Linked DNA regions of Oryzias latipes. The protein of the gene in region 2 purifies or fractionates together with the protein of the main gene of each other region. This does not show direct contact. Links are inferred from orthologs where the notes say so. Each region holds a gene or a part of one and is shown on either strand. Other genes may lie near its edges.

The links. Proteins that work in one complex are often made in the same cells at the same time.
Region 1: the proteins of ccnt1 (region 2) and larp7 purify together in Homo sapiens (affinity purification with mass spectrometry; 10 studies listed by BioGRID and IntAct, with this or other methods). This does not show direct contact. The link is inferred for Oryzias latipes from reciprocal best matches to the Homo sapiens genes CCNT1 and LARP7.

The regions. Positions count from the first base shown.
Region 1 is NC_019876.2:11,520,398-11,527,488, forward strand, and holds the end of larp7 (la-related protein 7), read right to left. Parts: intron 6,764-7,091; coding exon 6,467-6,763; intron 6,317-6,466; coding exon 6,175-6,316; intron 6,081-6,174; coding exon 5,959-6,080; intron 5,253-5,958; coding exon 5,152-5,252; intron 5,023-5,151; coding exon 4,863-5,022; intron 4,781-4,862; coding exon 4,689-4,780; intron 3,208-4,688; coding exon 3,130-3,207; 3' UTR 2,868-3,129; downstream 1-2,867. Other genes in the region: uncharacterized protein LOC101168076, read left to right, coding at 103-167, 1,445-1,513, 1,623-1,744, 1,828-2,396. UniProt on the Homo sapiens protein: RNA-binding protein that specifically binds distinct small nuclear RNA (snRNAs) and regulates their processing and function.
Region 2 is NC_019865.2:25,913,189-25,921,577, reverse strand, and holds the start of ccnt1 (cyclin-T1), read right to left. Parts: upstream 4,233-8,389; 5' UTR 4,199-4,232; coding exon 4,026-4,198; intron 2,294-4,025; coding exon 2,212-2,293; intron 2,124-2,211; coding exon 1,995-2,123; intron 1,442-1,994; coding exon 1,381-1,441; intron 807-1,380; coding exon 744-806; intron 616-743; coding exon 558-615; intron 456-557; coding exon 292-455; intron 169-291; coding exon 98-168; intron 1-97. UniProt on the Homo sapiens protein: Regulatory subunit of the cyclin-dependent kinase pair (CDK9/cyclin-T1) complex, also called positive transcription elongation factor B (P-TEFb), which facilitates the transition from abortive to productive elongation by phosphorylating the CTD (C-terminal domain) of the large subunit of RNA polymerase II (RNA Pol II).

The DNA of each region.
Region 1 (7,091 bases), on a different chromosome or scaffold from region 2:
CTTGGCAACGGTCCGCATCCACGTGCATCACCCGGCGTTGTTTATTTTTAGAACGGTAGAAACGTTTTTTTTTTTTCTTCTTTCATTTTTTTCGGTTTGTTCATGGCAGAGAAACCACAAACAGAAGACATGAACCCACCAGCAAACAGGGAATTCACGAGGAGAAGGTGAGCTGAAATAGATAGTTTTCCTGTTATGAACAAAAAAGGCGGTAAAAAAAAAAAGAAAAAGGAAAAAAAAAAGACCACGTTAGCTAAAAGAGTTGCGTTTTTTCTCTCTTGGCTTTTATTAACTCTATTATGCTTCTACTCAACTAAAAACTCATGTTTTGATCTAGTTTTGTTTTTTTTTATAATAAAAAACTATCACCACTAAAGTACTAAATAAAACCGTTGTTCGAATTAGTAATTCACTTTTTATTAAATTTTAATATGAATAAAGATCGGTTTTCAAAAAAGATAACATAATTTGTTCTCCATTTTTGTCAACATTTTAAAGTATTTTTCTGTGCATGTTCAGAGTTTTAGAAACCAAACAGTTTCAAATAAAACTTTATTTTTAAAACTGTCGTTTTAAAACATTGCCATGGTATAATATTCCGTTGCCATGGCATAATGTTCCGGTTAAAAACAAAACTGCCAAAGATTTCATTTTTACCTATAAAAGTTGAGTTTTTGAGTCAGTGTTGTTCATGAAGCGTTTGAAAATATACTTGCAAGCTTTTTTTTTTTTTAACATACTTGCAAGCTAGCTGCAAACGTTTATCGGAAGTTACCTTAAGGATATCCCAGAATGCAATACGGGCTCCATCCGGAGTTATGACATGTATGTAGGCAGATGTGGGTTTTTAAAATACAATTGAAGGACAGATGAAGACTGGATACAAAAAATTACCAACCAAGCTATGTAAAGATGAAAAAATACAAGAGAATTTAAAAGAAAAACGATACAATACTAAAAATTACAATATGAAATTTGAAGAAAAAAAAAAGTATAAACGAAAAAAAAATGTATACACATGGATAACATGTACAACCTTCAGGAATAACCGGCAAAACTGCAAAAAGCAATTATAATGAAAAGATCACTGGGATTGCTTTTAAAATATATCAAAAGATAATTGGACTGGGACTTGAAATTTATGTTTTCTATCCATTCATGCACTGAATCCATATGGTTTCACATCCTTACGCCTTTTATGCTGCATTTTAATGACTGCTTTGGCTTGTAAGACAAGAAAACCTCTCAGTGAGAAGCAGAAGTGGCCCCAAAAATGGCTTCTTCTGCAGGCAAAGGTGCTGCATGAGGGATATTCTTGCAGTTTTTATTTGATTATACATGCAACCCAACAATATCCTTATTTTTTTGGTTGTTGTTGTTGATAACGTTGAAAGTTTTCACCAAAAACATCTCATTAGGACTGTGATGTCATGTCTTTTCCCAGATCTATGTTCCTGATGGAGTATGAGACCCGCTTCCTCTCACCAAGCCTCGAAAAATACGCCTCACACAAGTAACTTTCCTTTTACTTTTCCATTTATTTTATTCTTCAGTTTTGACTTTTTTTTTTCCCCCCCTCCCACTCGTGTCTGGGTTACGTGTTATGTTCTTGTCTGTTTCAGAAAAGACAAGAAAAGAGACGCATCAATCCAAAAGGCTGCGCTGCCACCAGCAACACCTAAACGACACTCTGCACCTCAGGGGGAAAAGGACAACAAGGCCGTCCACACAACCACTTACACAGGCAAGAAAATTGCAATTTTTTCTCATAAACATCAACGGTTTTTAAATCTGACTTTTTGCAATAAATGTGTTCATTTTTTCCAGAGGATTTTAAAGCTTGGAAAGCCAAGAAACGTCACCCATGCAAGCTTGAGGACAACTTAGTAGCTTCCCATGGACTGGTTCCTGTGAGGGATTCTGGCAAAGAGAGCAGGAAGTGCCAACAGAAAGACGACCGGCTCCCAAAGGACGACGGACACTCTGAAAGGGTCACCAGCGGCAGGCTGGATTTTTCCGCCACTGTAGATGAGGCGCAGAAAAGCTGGAGGATGGCCTGGACCAGTGGAGGTCATCTCCCTCCGGCTGACGTCAGGGACTCTCTGAAGGTTTTGAAGCTCTACTCTCAGTTCAAGGAGGCTAATCCAGCAGCAGAGCACAAGCACCAGTCGCCAAAGGCAGAGTGTGAAGCCAGCGAGGATAAAGGCATCGAGTGGACCGGGCTGTCTGTGAAGCCCAGAGAGAGAGGCACGATGGCGATCCAGCCACCGCAAAAGGACGGCTGGGAATCTGCTATCCAGACAAACGAGGACGTCTCCAAACCAAACCAAAGCTGCAACAACCAGCCTCCTCAGGACTCTGTCTTGAATTACTTCATCAGCCTCCATCAAGACTAACAAGTCTTCTTAAAAGATTAAAACAAACCGACATGATATGTGTAAGCGTCTATGTTGATGAAACAGCCATCTTAAAGAGCCACTCCGATGATAATTATGTTTTTAACATGTTCCTTTTGACGATGGAAGACATGTATTTAGAAAAGTCTGAGTATGTCTGTATTCAAACCGCTGTGAATCAGGACCAGACGGAAAAAATGCAGATTAGAGAGTGTATTAGTGAGGATGACTCCCTATTGACTCTCAGCTATGGGTCGGGTTGCTCTGAACCACCAGTCCCGCCCACAACTCTGAGGTAACTACTGCCGCTCTGCAGAAACTATGTCCCACCAGACAACAGGCTTTTGATTTCGGCTAAAAACAGCAGATCATAGTGAAAAGACCACTGGGAAGGCTCTGAAAATGGATCAAAAATTAATGGAAGTGAGTCTTTAACAAGCACAGGAGTGTCTGAATTTAAAACAAACATTGTGATCGTGAAATTTCTGTTTTCTTTATTAGTAAAAAAACAATAAGATTTTCATTTGGAGTTCATTTATGTAGTATCTATACAGGATTGCTTTAAACACACAAGAACCTGGTAAAGAAAGCTCTGTCTTTATCAGCAGTACGTGGCATTTTTGGAACTCTAGTGCCAAAAAAACAACAAAAAAAAACCCCAAAAGGACAGAAACTACTTAAAACCATTCAAGTCCTCCTTCAAGACAGGAAACATCAGTTGAACGTGTGCAGCTCAGTCCTCCTCAAAGCGGATGTGCTTGTTCGCCTCCTTGGCTCTTGCCATGATGATTTTTTCAGCTTTAGATATGAGCTGAGGGGAGATGAGACAAGATTGGATGAGTTCCTTAAAAGCTTCTGCAAAAGAGTTTCTGTTCAATAATCATGTCTGCTTTAATGATCCAGCCAGTGGCAGAAATTTCGTTTTTGATCGACCAATGTGGAAATCTAAAGCAAATGATGACACTTTTTTACCCAGAAAACCCTCTGGTGTTTTCACTACATAATTAAAACAAAAGATAACAAGAACTTTAGTAACATTGGTAGATTTTTTTCACAGAAAACCAAAATTCAATGAAACAAAGTTGTTTTGTAGAAGTTGTTTCAGTTTTGTAAATAATGCAATTAAAACAAGCATTTTTTATTGTTAATTTATTGAACACCATTATAACACTGAGAACTAAAGCCAGTATCAGATCATCTTTCAGGACAAAAAGATTGATCATATTTTGTTTTTTCATAAATTCTGATTCATTGTGTTTTTTTAGGAACATTTTCTTTGATCAAGTTTCTTAACAGATGTCTGCATAATTCAGCCTTGCTGTAGGAAAATTCCTAAATCTCCTTTTTATAAGTTTCCACTAATCAGTAACTGAATTGAATCTTCATTCTCCGTAAAATGTTTTCAGCTGGTTAAACTTAAACTTTGTGATGAAGATTTTCCCTTTAACGTCAACGTGGATGCCAACAACTGGATGCTAACTTCAGCTTCAACGTTTAATGATGGATAAAGAAAGCAAAAATAATGACACAACTGTCTATAAAGTGGTATTTTATAAACATGATAATAAACATGAATCCACCGTGTCTACATCTTCATTACCTGCATATGTGTCAGTCGCTGCATATTGAAACATACTTTTTGTGCAATACTCACCAGGAACCACACCGTAACATATTGATATCACATTGATATTATATTATTTATTTATGTCTGAATGTAAACGGCTGGCCCGGGACCAGAGAGCCTAATTTCGTTTTATCATGTGATAAAATGACAATAAAGATTTCCTGATTCCTGATTAGGCAAAGCGAGCAGCTTCTGGTACGTGAAAACAATTGTCTCAATAAATCCGTATTTGGAGGAAAACTTCTAGTTCTGTCTGTAAATAGCAGCTTTATTTTCTTTGCAGCCAAAGACTCTTCTTTAGTTTCTTCACTGACTCTTCTCCCCAAAGAAACTTTCCAAATACGTTGAATTGTTTGGTTTTTGTTAGCTTTTAAGTGTTGAACTACTAACTTAGCGAACGAGCAGCTGCTTAAAGTCACGTGACGCGTCAAGACAGACGGATGTGGTGAACAGAATCTGGTAGTTTTCCAAAATAAAACTTCCTTTAGTATCAGAAAATAAACAAAACGGAAATAATCAAAGTTAGAGTTTGTATTTTTTTTTTGTCTGGCGAGCAGCCCTTTGACTGTTACTTACCAAACAGGAAACAAATACTTCAATTGACAACTGGCAAGTGTTAGTTTGAGAACCGAGATGCACCACAAGGACGTGCGACTGAACTTCACCTTCTCTTTGCCTCTCTTTTTTTCTCGGGGGCGATTCAGCTTCACCTGGCGGTCCACGAGGATCTTATGCCAATACCGCTGCTCTTGGTCTCCTTTAGGAAAAGTCAGAGAGCAAACCTGAGCTCAATGGGAAAAGATGACGTTCAAACACGGACTGGAGGAACCATGTCACACCTGTTAGAATCTCAACCTTCCAGCTGTGCTCCTTCTGCAGCTGTGCTTTGGCCTGGCAGACACCTTTGGCGCCCTCTGGTGTCAAAAAGCGCACATAACCCTCTGAATCTCCATCCAGGATGTCGACGTAAGCCACTTGAGACACTTCACACAGGATCTCCTGCACACAGCAGTGACACCTTATACAACCTGAACCACAACATTGCTCCCACGGACAAGAAATCCTGCATTTTCTATGACAAACTGCAGCTTCAAATCATAAAAAGAGAAGCCAGAAAGGATCCAGCACCTTGACGATCTTCCTTGCTGGTAGAGGTTTGCTGTCTGTGATCTTCACGATGACGCCACTGACAAACTGAGGACTCTGGTTGTTTTCTTTTTTGCTTTCAACTGCAAGTTAACAAAATAATGTTGCATTTCATTATGTATATCAGTTGCGAGGAACATGAGCATAGTTTACATCGTTTCTGCAGAGCAACAGTAGTTCATTAGAAATTCAATTCTGAGTTGTGGGCGGGGCTGTGGGCACGATGCAGCCTCACCCCCTCTGCCCGCCAATCCATGACTGAGAGCTAGCTTTCCAACCTAACATTAGTGATGCAACAAAAGTGGCGAGCAACGTTGGAGCCTCAGTTTTAAACTAGATGCCAGCTCAGACAAGGGAAACAAAGACGTACACGGATCTGCAAGTGGATGCATCAGAATGGAGCAGAGCAGGGAGCTTGTGGCCCACCCAGAGTATTTTCTACGTCACCAACATGATGTTTTTCCAACTTCATTTTTTCGTCTGCTCCGGATTCCAAATAATTTAAATAAAGAACTACTCAGAAGTGCAAATTTAAGCTTAATTGTTTTTATGCATGTCCTCCAACATCAGAAAAAAGCCAAAAGAACATGTTAAAACCACAACTACCACTAGAGTGGGGCTTTGAAGGTCAGACCGCAAGGTAAACAAGGCAAGTTTTAGACAAAAATCAAGAGAGAAATGACAACAGAGCCTGTCGGAAAACCCCCTCCCTGAGTCCCAAAACTGAACTCATGAGACGTCATTTACTAATCATGTGTCGTCAACGTGGAAGTGTTTGAGCAAACCCACCGCTCCTGTCTTCAGCGCTTCCCTGCTCTTTGCTTTCAATCTTGTTGAAGCACTTCTTCAAGGACGACATGCTGCTTTTCTGCAGAGCTAAATATTGCTGCTTCAGCTGGAGCCACTCTTTCCTGGAAAAAAAAAAAAAAAAAGGGGAGTAAATAAAAAGGATTCAACTGGAATTTAAGGCATTTTATAGCAAATCATCAAAAAGTTGCTGCTAACTTTGATAAAACTCGAAGTGGAATGACTTCTTCTCCAATTTTCAATTTTTCTTTGTGTTTCTTTTTCCGCTTCCTCTTCGCCTTCACGGCCGAGTCGTCGCCGTTCTCATTTCCCTTCTCGCCGTCGCCTTCGGTGGCTGAATCTACGGGGAAGGAGGGGGAATCACACCATGAGCTCAGCAGTCAGCTGGTTGGACAGCAGCTCTGCACCCACGTCTGTTAGCCAACTCGGGACACATGGAGATGAGTCTAAAAGAAAAGAGAATCTAAAAGTAGGGGAAGTCTGCGCTCACCACTCTTTTCTTTCTCTTTCTCCCCAGATTCACTGCAGCTCCTCTTTCTAATCTTAGACGGCACTTCACTCTCAGCGCCCTCCGCCGTCTGAGAGCGCCGTCGCTTTTTCTCTGACACTTTGCTCTGTTCCCTCTCCGGGTTTGCAGCTCTTTTCTCCGAGTCCTTCGCTGCCGAGTGTTTCTTCTTCGGCTGAAAGGCTTCGGTCTCCATCTCCTTGACTTCTCCTGCAGGCGTCTCAGCTGTTGAAGCGTCTTTCTTCTTCTTCTTTTTACGCTTTTTTTTCTCCTCTTCTTCACCTACAATGCATCAAACCATTGGAAGCATTGAAGTCATAAAATGAGAAGCAGGAAAACTTTATTAATCATCCAGAGATGTACAAGGTAGTACAATTTTTGGAGCTAATAGAAGATCTTGGCTTTGGGAGTAAAACAGAAGTCTAAAAAAACAAGAACCCATCAAAGCTGAGATGTACAATTAGGAACATTTTTTGACAAATTGCATCATTTGAAGACAAAAGTGTCTTTAAAGTCCCACTCCCATCGTACTCTGATCTATTTTTGAGGCTTTCCCAGTGGTTTTTAAAATGACGTTCTTGCAGTTTATATAAAAGAAAATCAAAAAACC
Region 2 (8,389 bases):
CTGCCGTTGCTCGCCCACCACCCTGAAGAAAGCCCGAGCAGGTGGAGACCAAGAAACTGTGGGCTCCGCTAGCTTACAGGCAGAAACAAAGTCGTACCTTCCAGTTCCGAATCCGTTTAAGCCGACTAGGAGTTTTCTCCAAGATTTGCAGAAACTCATGCGTGAGTTCTGCAAAAGAGTTACAGGCTACAGTCACAAACTCTCCAAAGACGGATTTGCAGTTCTTTACACCATTTTTGCATTTACAAAAAAGAATAGTTAAAAAAAAAAACAACAGGATTTGTGAAGTACCGTCCAAAAGCTCCAAAGTAACCGTGGGATCAACGTATTCCCACCAGTGTTTGCCATCAGTGGAGACGGGGATCTCCCAGTTGGACCACTTGCATGCAAGATGTATGCACACGCAGGCCACGACGGGGGGGCAATACTGCAGGCAGAAGGTGGTCAAATGCAGACTGGGTGGCAGGACGCACGAAAAGAGAGAGAGAGAGGAAACAAATCAGCCCATTTCCACATCAAAATTCCCACCGTAAAGCCGATGTGAAAGGAGGGCATACCTGTTAGTTGCCATAAAGTAGGATGTTTGGGCCAGATCCTTGCTGGCTGCAATAAAACCAAAACAAAGAAACAAAAAAAGACCTTAAAGTCTGCAAATTAACAATTGGAGGTACAAGTTGTTGAATAGTGCCAAATAGACGGCATTTTTTTTCTTTATATACGCATATTGTGGACAAGGTGCTCACCTCTGACGAGCTGAGTGCACTTGACAACATGAGTGTGAGGATGATCAATGGTGATTTCAAAAGCTGCCACAAAAAGGGGGACAAGAAAAGAGAAAGACATCAGCTCACTGGTTGCCAAATTAAAACGTTCAGGTTTATTTGAACCATTTGGCTTCCACTGGATAGGTAACGTTACCAAAGACCCTAAGAAAAAAAACAAAAAATGTGTAATTATTCAAACAAAACGCCAAGTGGAGATCAACGTTTTATGAGAACTCTTCTCATGGGATCAAACCTTGGGCAAAATCAAAATATTAAAACCTAATCCACACAAAAAAGTAGAAGGAAAATTAAAAAATGGCCCATCATTTTCAGTTCCTCAAACATGTTCTGCTCCACGAAGTTGTGAAAAAGCATTCTTAAATTTATATAGAAAAAAAGGACGAAAATAAAGGACTGAAATGGTAAACGATAAAGAGAATGAAAGAAATGCGACTGAACAGTGGTGGAAATGCTTCTAACATGAGTTGAGTATGTGTTTTCCAGTGCTGATAACCACATTTGGAGTTTCTGGAAACAGAAAGCTGCAGAGGTCATCTCGGTCAGGATGATTCTCTGGAGGGAAAGGAAGGGTCCCAGGTTTGCCTCCCAAACTTACCCAAGGTCTGGAGTATTATGCTCTCAAGAATGACCAGGTCTTGGGCTTGTGTCAGGTAAGCCTGAGGTTGAGAGGACAGGCATGTTACTCTCCCAGACGCCTGCAAACTGTTGTCAAACAAGAGTGTCTGAGCAGCTCACTCTGTGGTCCTAGAAATGTTCGTCCATTCATGTAAAAGTCCACAAAGCGAGCGCAGACACTCCTGTTTTACAACCGATAGACATCACATCACCTGGGTGACTGAAACCTACACAATCAGACGCATTTTGACCCTTGCTCTCTCAACCCATAGGGAGCAGCGTCTCAAAAAAAAAAAACGTCAACAAGTCGGTCAAGTGGTTGTTTAAAGTTAACATGAAAAAGAAACCAAAGAGTTAAGAAACTCCCCCCGCCCCTCCTCTTATCACAGAACCATGGCAAACATTGTTCTTTCTAGAAAAGAAAAACTGGGATTAAGTGATGCACACAATTAAGACACAAGAACTGAGAAGACAGCTCAATGAAATGCAGTACACAGGAGAGCAGTTCAGATTTACAAGCCAAGCAGCGCTTTTGCAGTTTTTTTTGAAATGCAGGACAGACGAGTACTCATCTCACCGCCGTGAGACACTTACATCGCTGCGCACATCGGGCGACGGCTCCTGAGGATTGAGACACGCATGGGCCACTTTAATGACATGTTCCAGCTTCCTGGGCTGCTCTTCAACCTTTGCAGCGAGGAAAAGTGCGGCAGGAGAAATCACCTGAGGAGGAGGTGATAAGTTGTGACTTTTATTTCCACCGGTAAATAAATCTTTAAAACAAAATGGTTTTGGACATGAAAACACTTACATTTCGGTGAAATCGGGTGAAGGACTGGATCATGTAGAAGCGATGCATGTACACGATGGCTGTGTTAATGGTAAGTTGGGAGCTGTCACGCCAGTTAAGGACCATTGGAAAAACTGTGCAATCCTAAAACGCCACCGGAGAGAATTTTGCTAAAGTGACACAGACAGAACGTGTATCCTTAAAGCTGCGGACACACCGGACACGCGATGGACATTCTTGAGTGTAATCGCAGCATATGGTCTTCGCACTGCCCAAGTAGGGAGGGGCTTCTTCTCTCTCTTTATTACCATTTGTTAGCACATGTCTGCCACCTACTAGAAGTTTGGTGCGAAATGTCCAAGTGGGGAAAACCTCACAAAACTTGCTCCAGGCTTTTTCTTTCACAGCTCTATTCCGACATGAAAGACTTGGTTCATAGAATTCTGGCTGGGCACAAACTCTGATAATTTCTCTTTTAAAATCATCAAATGGACGGTACAACCGTGAATCAAAAGTGACGCCATCCATACCCAACTACCAAGTCCGAGATTTACACGGACTTTTTTTAATTGGAATAGGCTGCATAGCACACGTTGCAGACATTAACTGTAAATACAAACTAGACATACTGACCCCTCCTCCCTTATGTTCCAAACAGGAAGTACCCCCTGGCTCCAAGAAGCCAAAATTCCCATAGACTTTTATAGAGAAATAGATGGCTATTACTCAGTCACACTGCTTGTCACTCAGAATAACAGTTCTTGCTCTGCTATATATATTTTTTTACAGGTTCTTGCAAATTTATTTCCTGGTCTTTTTTTCTTAATCACAATTTATAAACTGACCAATCAAATGTCTCGGTAAAATGATTTGGTGCCCACTGGCCCCCCATCTCCAACCTTTGACAGATTCTCCCAAGCCACTTTCCGTGGAAGTGGTGTGGAATTCAAACATGCTTAGGATATAAAAGCCCCTCCCTTTCTTCTTAAATGGTGTGCATCTAATTAGCCAGTCGTGGCGGTTAAAGAAATAAACAAGTAGGTGGTGCAGATTACAGTAGATTACTAGCTCTTGGGAGCTTTGTGTGTCCTATTCAGAGCTCTTCTGGATCGCAGTCTGAGCATGCCTCTTAATTTGAAAATAAAACGTTTAGCTTAGTTACATTCATATAAACAAAAAAACTAAGAAATACAGTTAAATCTGGGAATTCTTTAGCAACATTCACGTGTTTTATGAGCTTTCCATAACTTAGGATACCCTTTGGTTGGAGGGCCTCCTTTAAATTTCACCGTGAGGCCCCCCAGAACATATGAAGCGTCCATGATGAGGATAATAAAAATAGCCCATCATGATTTTTACCACCACACCACAAACAACGAAAGCCAGGTTGCAGTACAGTAGTATAACCTCAATCCCTCACTCACAGCCTCTGAAGAGGCTTTTCAAGCCTACAAATAAACAATTTTCCTAAAAAGTTGATTCAATTTCAATTTATACTATAACTGTGCTGTTTATTTTTTAGCAGAATATATTCATCTGTTCAGAAAACTTCTTCCTAGTCATTTGCGGCTAGTGAAGCTAACGTCCCGGACAGGCCTGTCGAGCTACAGGCCTTGGTGGACCCGGCTAGCCTGAGACGCCGCAGGGAGATGTTAACGTAGAAACAGCGACGGAAAACAACCGCCATTTAGTCAACAACACACGATACTAACAAATAAACAAGAACCCGTCGAACAACACAAGAAATACCGGCCACGCTCTTGGCCGAGCAGGTTACACTTTGCTGGCTAGCATGCTAATGCTAGCTACGTGCGACGCAGCACGACAAAAGATACACATTGAGCCGCTGTCCCATGTCCTGGATCAGGTTCGCTGCCTGTTGCCTGTACGACAGCTCCTTGTCGGGGTCTAGTCCAGCTCGCCGAGAGGGGTTGTTGTCGATCTCCTGCCTGGTGAAGTACCATTTATTATTATTGCTTGCAGGGAGAGAACGAAACGAAGCCGCCATTACTAAGAAGGACGAGAGTTTAAAATTTCTGCGCGTCACAGGAACATACGTCACAGAGGGCGCTGTTCCTCTGGTAACCGACAGATGTCGCCAAAACCAATGTGTTACTAGGCAATATGGGTTTTTGCATTTCCTTCACAGATTCTGTGTTGGATTTTTTGGATACTTTTTCTTCTCTTTTTTGCAGTGTGGTGGTATAAATATTACTCCATAAAGATACAGCCCCGTTTCATTCACAGTGCAACTGATTGAAGGAGGTTTTCACTCAAATCTATCTTTCCTTAATAAGTCTTCTTGTCCACTTCGCAGAAAACCAGCCCCAAAGCATAACGTTTCCACCACCATGCCTCACAGTTAGTATGGTGTTCTTGGGGATAAAACTCAGCATTTTTGTTCTCCTAGTGCTCCTCTGGATCAGCCTCTGGCATGATTTAACAAACATGGACATGTGCTGGAGGTGGACCATTGGAGCTTCACTTTCTGACTTTCTCAATCTACTGATCAATATTTGTTCCAAAACTCACCTGTGGTCATGAGCTCTGGGGGATGACTGAAGGAACGAGGTCCTGAATACATGAGCTTCCTCCATCGGGTGGCTGGGCGGTCTTGTAGAGATAGGGTGAGAAGCTTGATCACCTGGAGAGAGCTCGGAGTAGATCCACGTCTCCCCTAGATCAAGCAGAGCCAGATGAGGCGGCTCAGCCATCTGGTCTGGATGCCTCCAGAGCCCCTCCCTGGTGAGGCGTTCTGGGCATGTCCCACTGGGCGGTGGGCCCAGGGAAGAACAGGACACGGTGGAGAAACGATGTCTCTCAGCTGCGCTGGGAAGGCCTTGGTGCTGACTGACCGCAACCTGGGCAGAATAAGATGGAATGATGGATGGATGGATGGATGGATGAAATGATGGATGGATGGTTGGATGGACGGAATGATGGATAGATAGATAGATAGATAGATAGATAGATAGATAGATAGATAGATAGATAGATAGATAGATAGATAGATAGATAGATAGATAGATAGATAGATAGATAGATAGATAGATAGATAGATAGATAGATAGATAGATAGATGGATGGATGGATGGATGGATGGATGGATGGATGGATGGATGGATGGATGGATGGATGGATGGATGGATGGATGGATGGATGGATGGATGGATGGATGGATGGATGGATGGATGGATGGATGGATGGATGGATGGATGGATGGATGGATGGATGGATGGATGGATGGATAGATGGATGGATGGATGGATAGATGGATGGATGGATAGATGGATGGATGAAATGTTGGATGGATGGATGGATGGATGGATGGATGAAATGTTGGATGGATGCATGGAATGATAAATGGATGGATGGATGGATAGAATGATGGATGGAAGGATGGATGGATGGATGCATGGAATGATGAATGGATGGATGGATGGATGGATGGATGGATGGATGGATGGATGGATGGAATGATGGATGGATGGATGGATGGATGGATGGATGGATAGAATGATGGATGGATGTATAGATGGAAGAATGGATGGATGGAATGATGGATGGATTGAATGATGGAAGGATGAATGGATAGATGAATGAAATGATGGATGGATGGATGGATGGATGGAATGATGGATACAGCCATTGATGGCGTAGTTCCACTTAAAACTAAAACGTTGAAAACTAAAGCTACAGCACCCTGGAGGAACGAATCAATCAGAGCCATGAAACGTGAATGCAGGAGTGCGGAGAGGAAGTGGAGAAAAACGAAATTAACTATACATCGCAAAATTTTTAAAGAACCGCAAATGATGTACAACCATGCAATAAAAAAAAGCAAACTTGATTTTACAAAACAAAAATGATCCTAAAGTTCTCTTTAAAACAATAGACAGTTTAATTAAAAGAGACTCTTAAAGGTCCTCCACAGCAGCCTCAGATGCTGTATGTGAGAGTTTTGCCGACCACTTCAAGAGTAAAATCAATGCTATTAGATCTAGTCTCTTAACTCAAAAAGGTGTCGTTTTGAATAAAACTATAGCATTGCATTTATCAGAGGAAACACTGGAAAGTTTTGTCCTGGTTGATGCTGTGGCACTTGGTCAGGTTTTCTCCCAGTTAAAGCCAACCACCTGCCTTTTAGACCCAATCCCCACATCGTTGTTGAAAACATTTTATGACTTCTTTGAGTCTGAGCTTTTAAATATAGTAACTTATCGTTTCCCCACTTCAGGAGGAAGCCAGGTCTCTACATTCCATCATTTTTTTTATCATGGTGTGCGTATGAGTGTGTGTTTGGGGGGTTGTTGGCACTCTTTGTCTTGTCATCTTGTTTTTAAATTTTATTGTATTTTATGCACAGCACTTTGTGACATGTGTTGTTGTAAAAGTGCTATATAAATAAAGGTTAATTTGATCTACCAAGTTTAGTAGAAAATGTTTATTGCAAAACTGTAAATCCAACTAGATTCTTTGAAACTAAAAAATATTTTCCTTCTCACAAGTTCCTAAACATTTCTTTCCGTTTTTTGTCTCCAAGCTGTGTTCAAACAAAATTCAGAATAATATAAATATATATATATATACTTTAATCGAGAATATGTAAAAGTTATGTTTCTTGATGAGTGAAGTAGATTTATGTACTAGTTGAAAGTAAAGTATGAAAGAACAAGAACGCGTACGTTCGACTGCTCTTCACATCAGCTTTTAACACCATCATCCCGCAGACCCTCACCCAGAAACTACACACACTAGGACTGAACCCCACTCTGTGCAACTGGGTCTTGGACTTCCTGACAGACAGACCACAGTCTGTAAAAATCCGCAACGTCTCCTCCTCCCCGATCACCCTCAGCACGGGCTCCCCCCAGGGCTGTGTGCTGAGCCCCCTCCTGTTCACCCTGCTCACGCACGACTGCACAGCGATTCACCCCAGCTGTCTGATCGTGAAGTTTGCGGATGACACAGCCGTGGTTGGACGCATCTCTAACAACGATGAGTCCAACTACAGGCAGGAGGTGGAACATCTGGAGAGCTGGTGCAGAGACAACAAGCTCTGCATCAACGGGAAGAAGACCAAGGAGATGATCGTGGATTTCAGGAAGGACAGATGCCCCCCTCCCCCCATTCACATCGGAGGGGACGGGGTGGAAGTGGTTTCCAGCTTCAGGTATCTGGGCGTGCACATCTCCAGCGACCTCACCTGGAGCACCAACACCTCCTGCCTGGTCAAGAAGGCACACCAGCACCTGTATTTTCTGAGGAGGCTCAGGCGTGCTGGGATGGGGATCTCAGTGCTGACCTTCTACAGGTGTGTGGTGGAGAGCGTCATGACCTCCTGCATCACTGTGTGGCACGGCAGCTGCTCTGCGGCAGAGAGGAAAGCTCTGCAACGAGTGACAAAAGCTGCACAGAGGACTGTGGGCTGTAGCCTGCCGTCCACCACTGATATCTATACGACCAGATGCAGGGCCTCCCGCATCCAGAAAGACCCCACTCACCCCTCACACCCTCTGTTCTCCCTGCTCCCCTCAGGCAGGAGACTGAGGAGCATAAAGAGCAGGACCACCAGACTGAGGAACAGTTTCTTTCCTGAAGCAGTCAGACTGCTGAACTCCGGTTGATCACTGCACACCCCCCCCTCCCCCCCCTCTCCATGGACAACAAGCTAATTCCCAAGTGCAATATCACAGGGCTGTGCAATGCTTAACATAACATACTGTGCAATTGAAAAATACTTCTGTGCAATACTCCGTAACAGTCTGATATCATTATTGATACTATATTTATTTATGTCTGAATGTAAACGGCTGGCCCGGGACCAGAGAGCCTAATTTCGTTTTATCATGATAAAATGACAATGAAGTTTCCTGATCCTGATTCCTGAAAGTAAAGTATTTTTTTATGTAACTGGCAATTTCAACAAGATCAAAGTGGCTCAGTGAGACAGAGTTTGGTAGTTTTTGGGGTTAGGCTTCATTTAAAATAACATACATAATTACAATACATTTGTAGATATTTTTATCCTGACCTCATAAATGCTCAGCTCATGTGACAGAATGTAGAAACGATCTACCCCAACATTTTGCTAAGGAGGTTGAACTGTTAACCAAAATACTGATGTAAAAGGCTGATAAGAGGCGACTGTCCAAAAATTAAAAAGTTTATTTTAAATCACAAAATGTTATAAAACAGA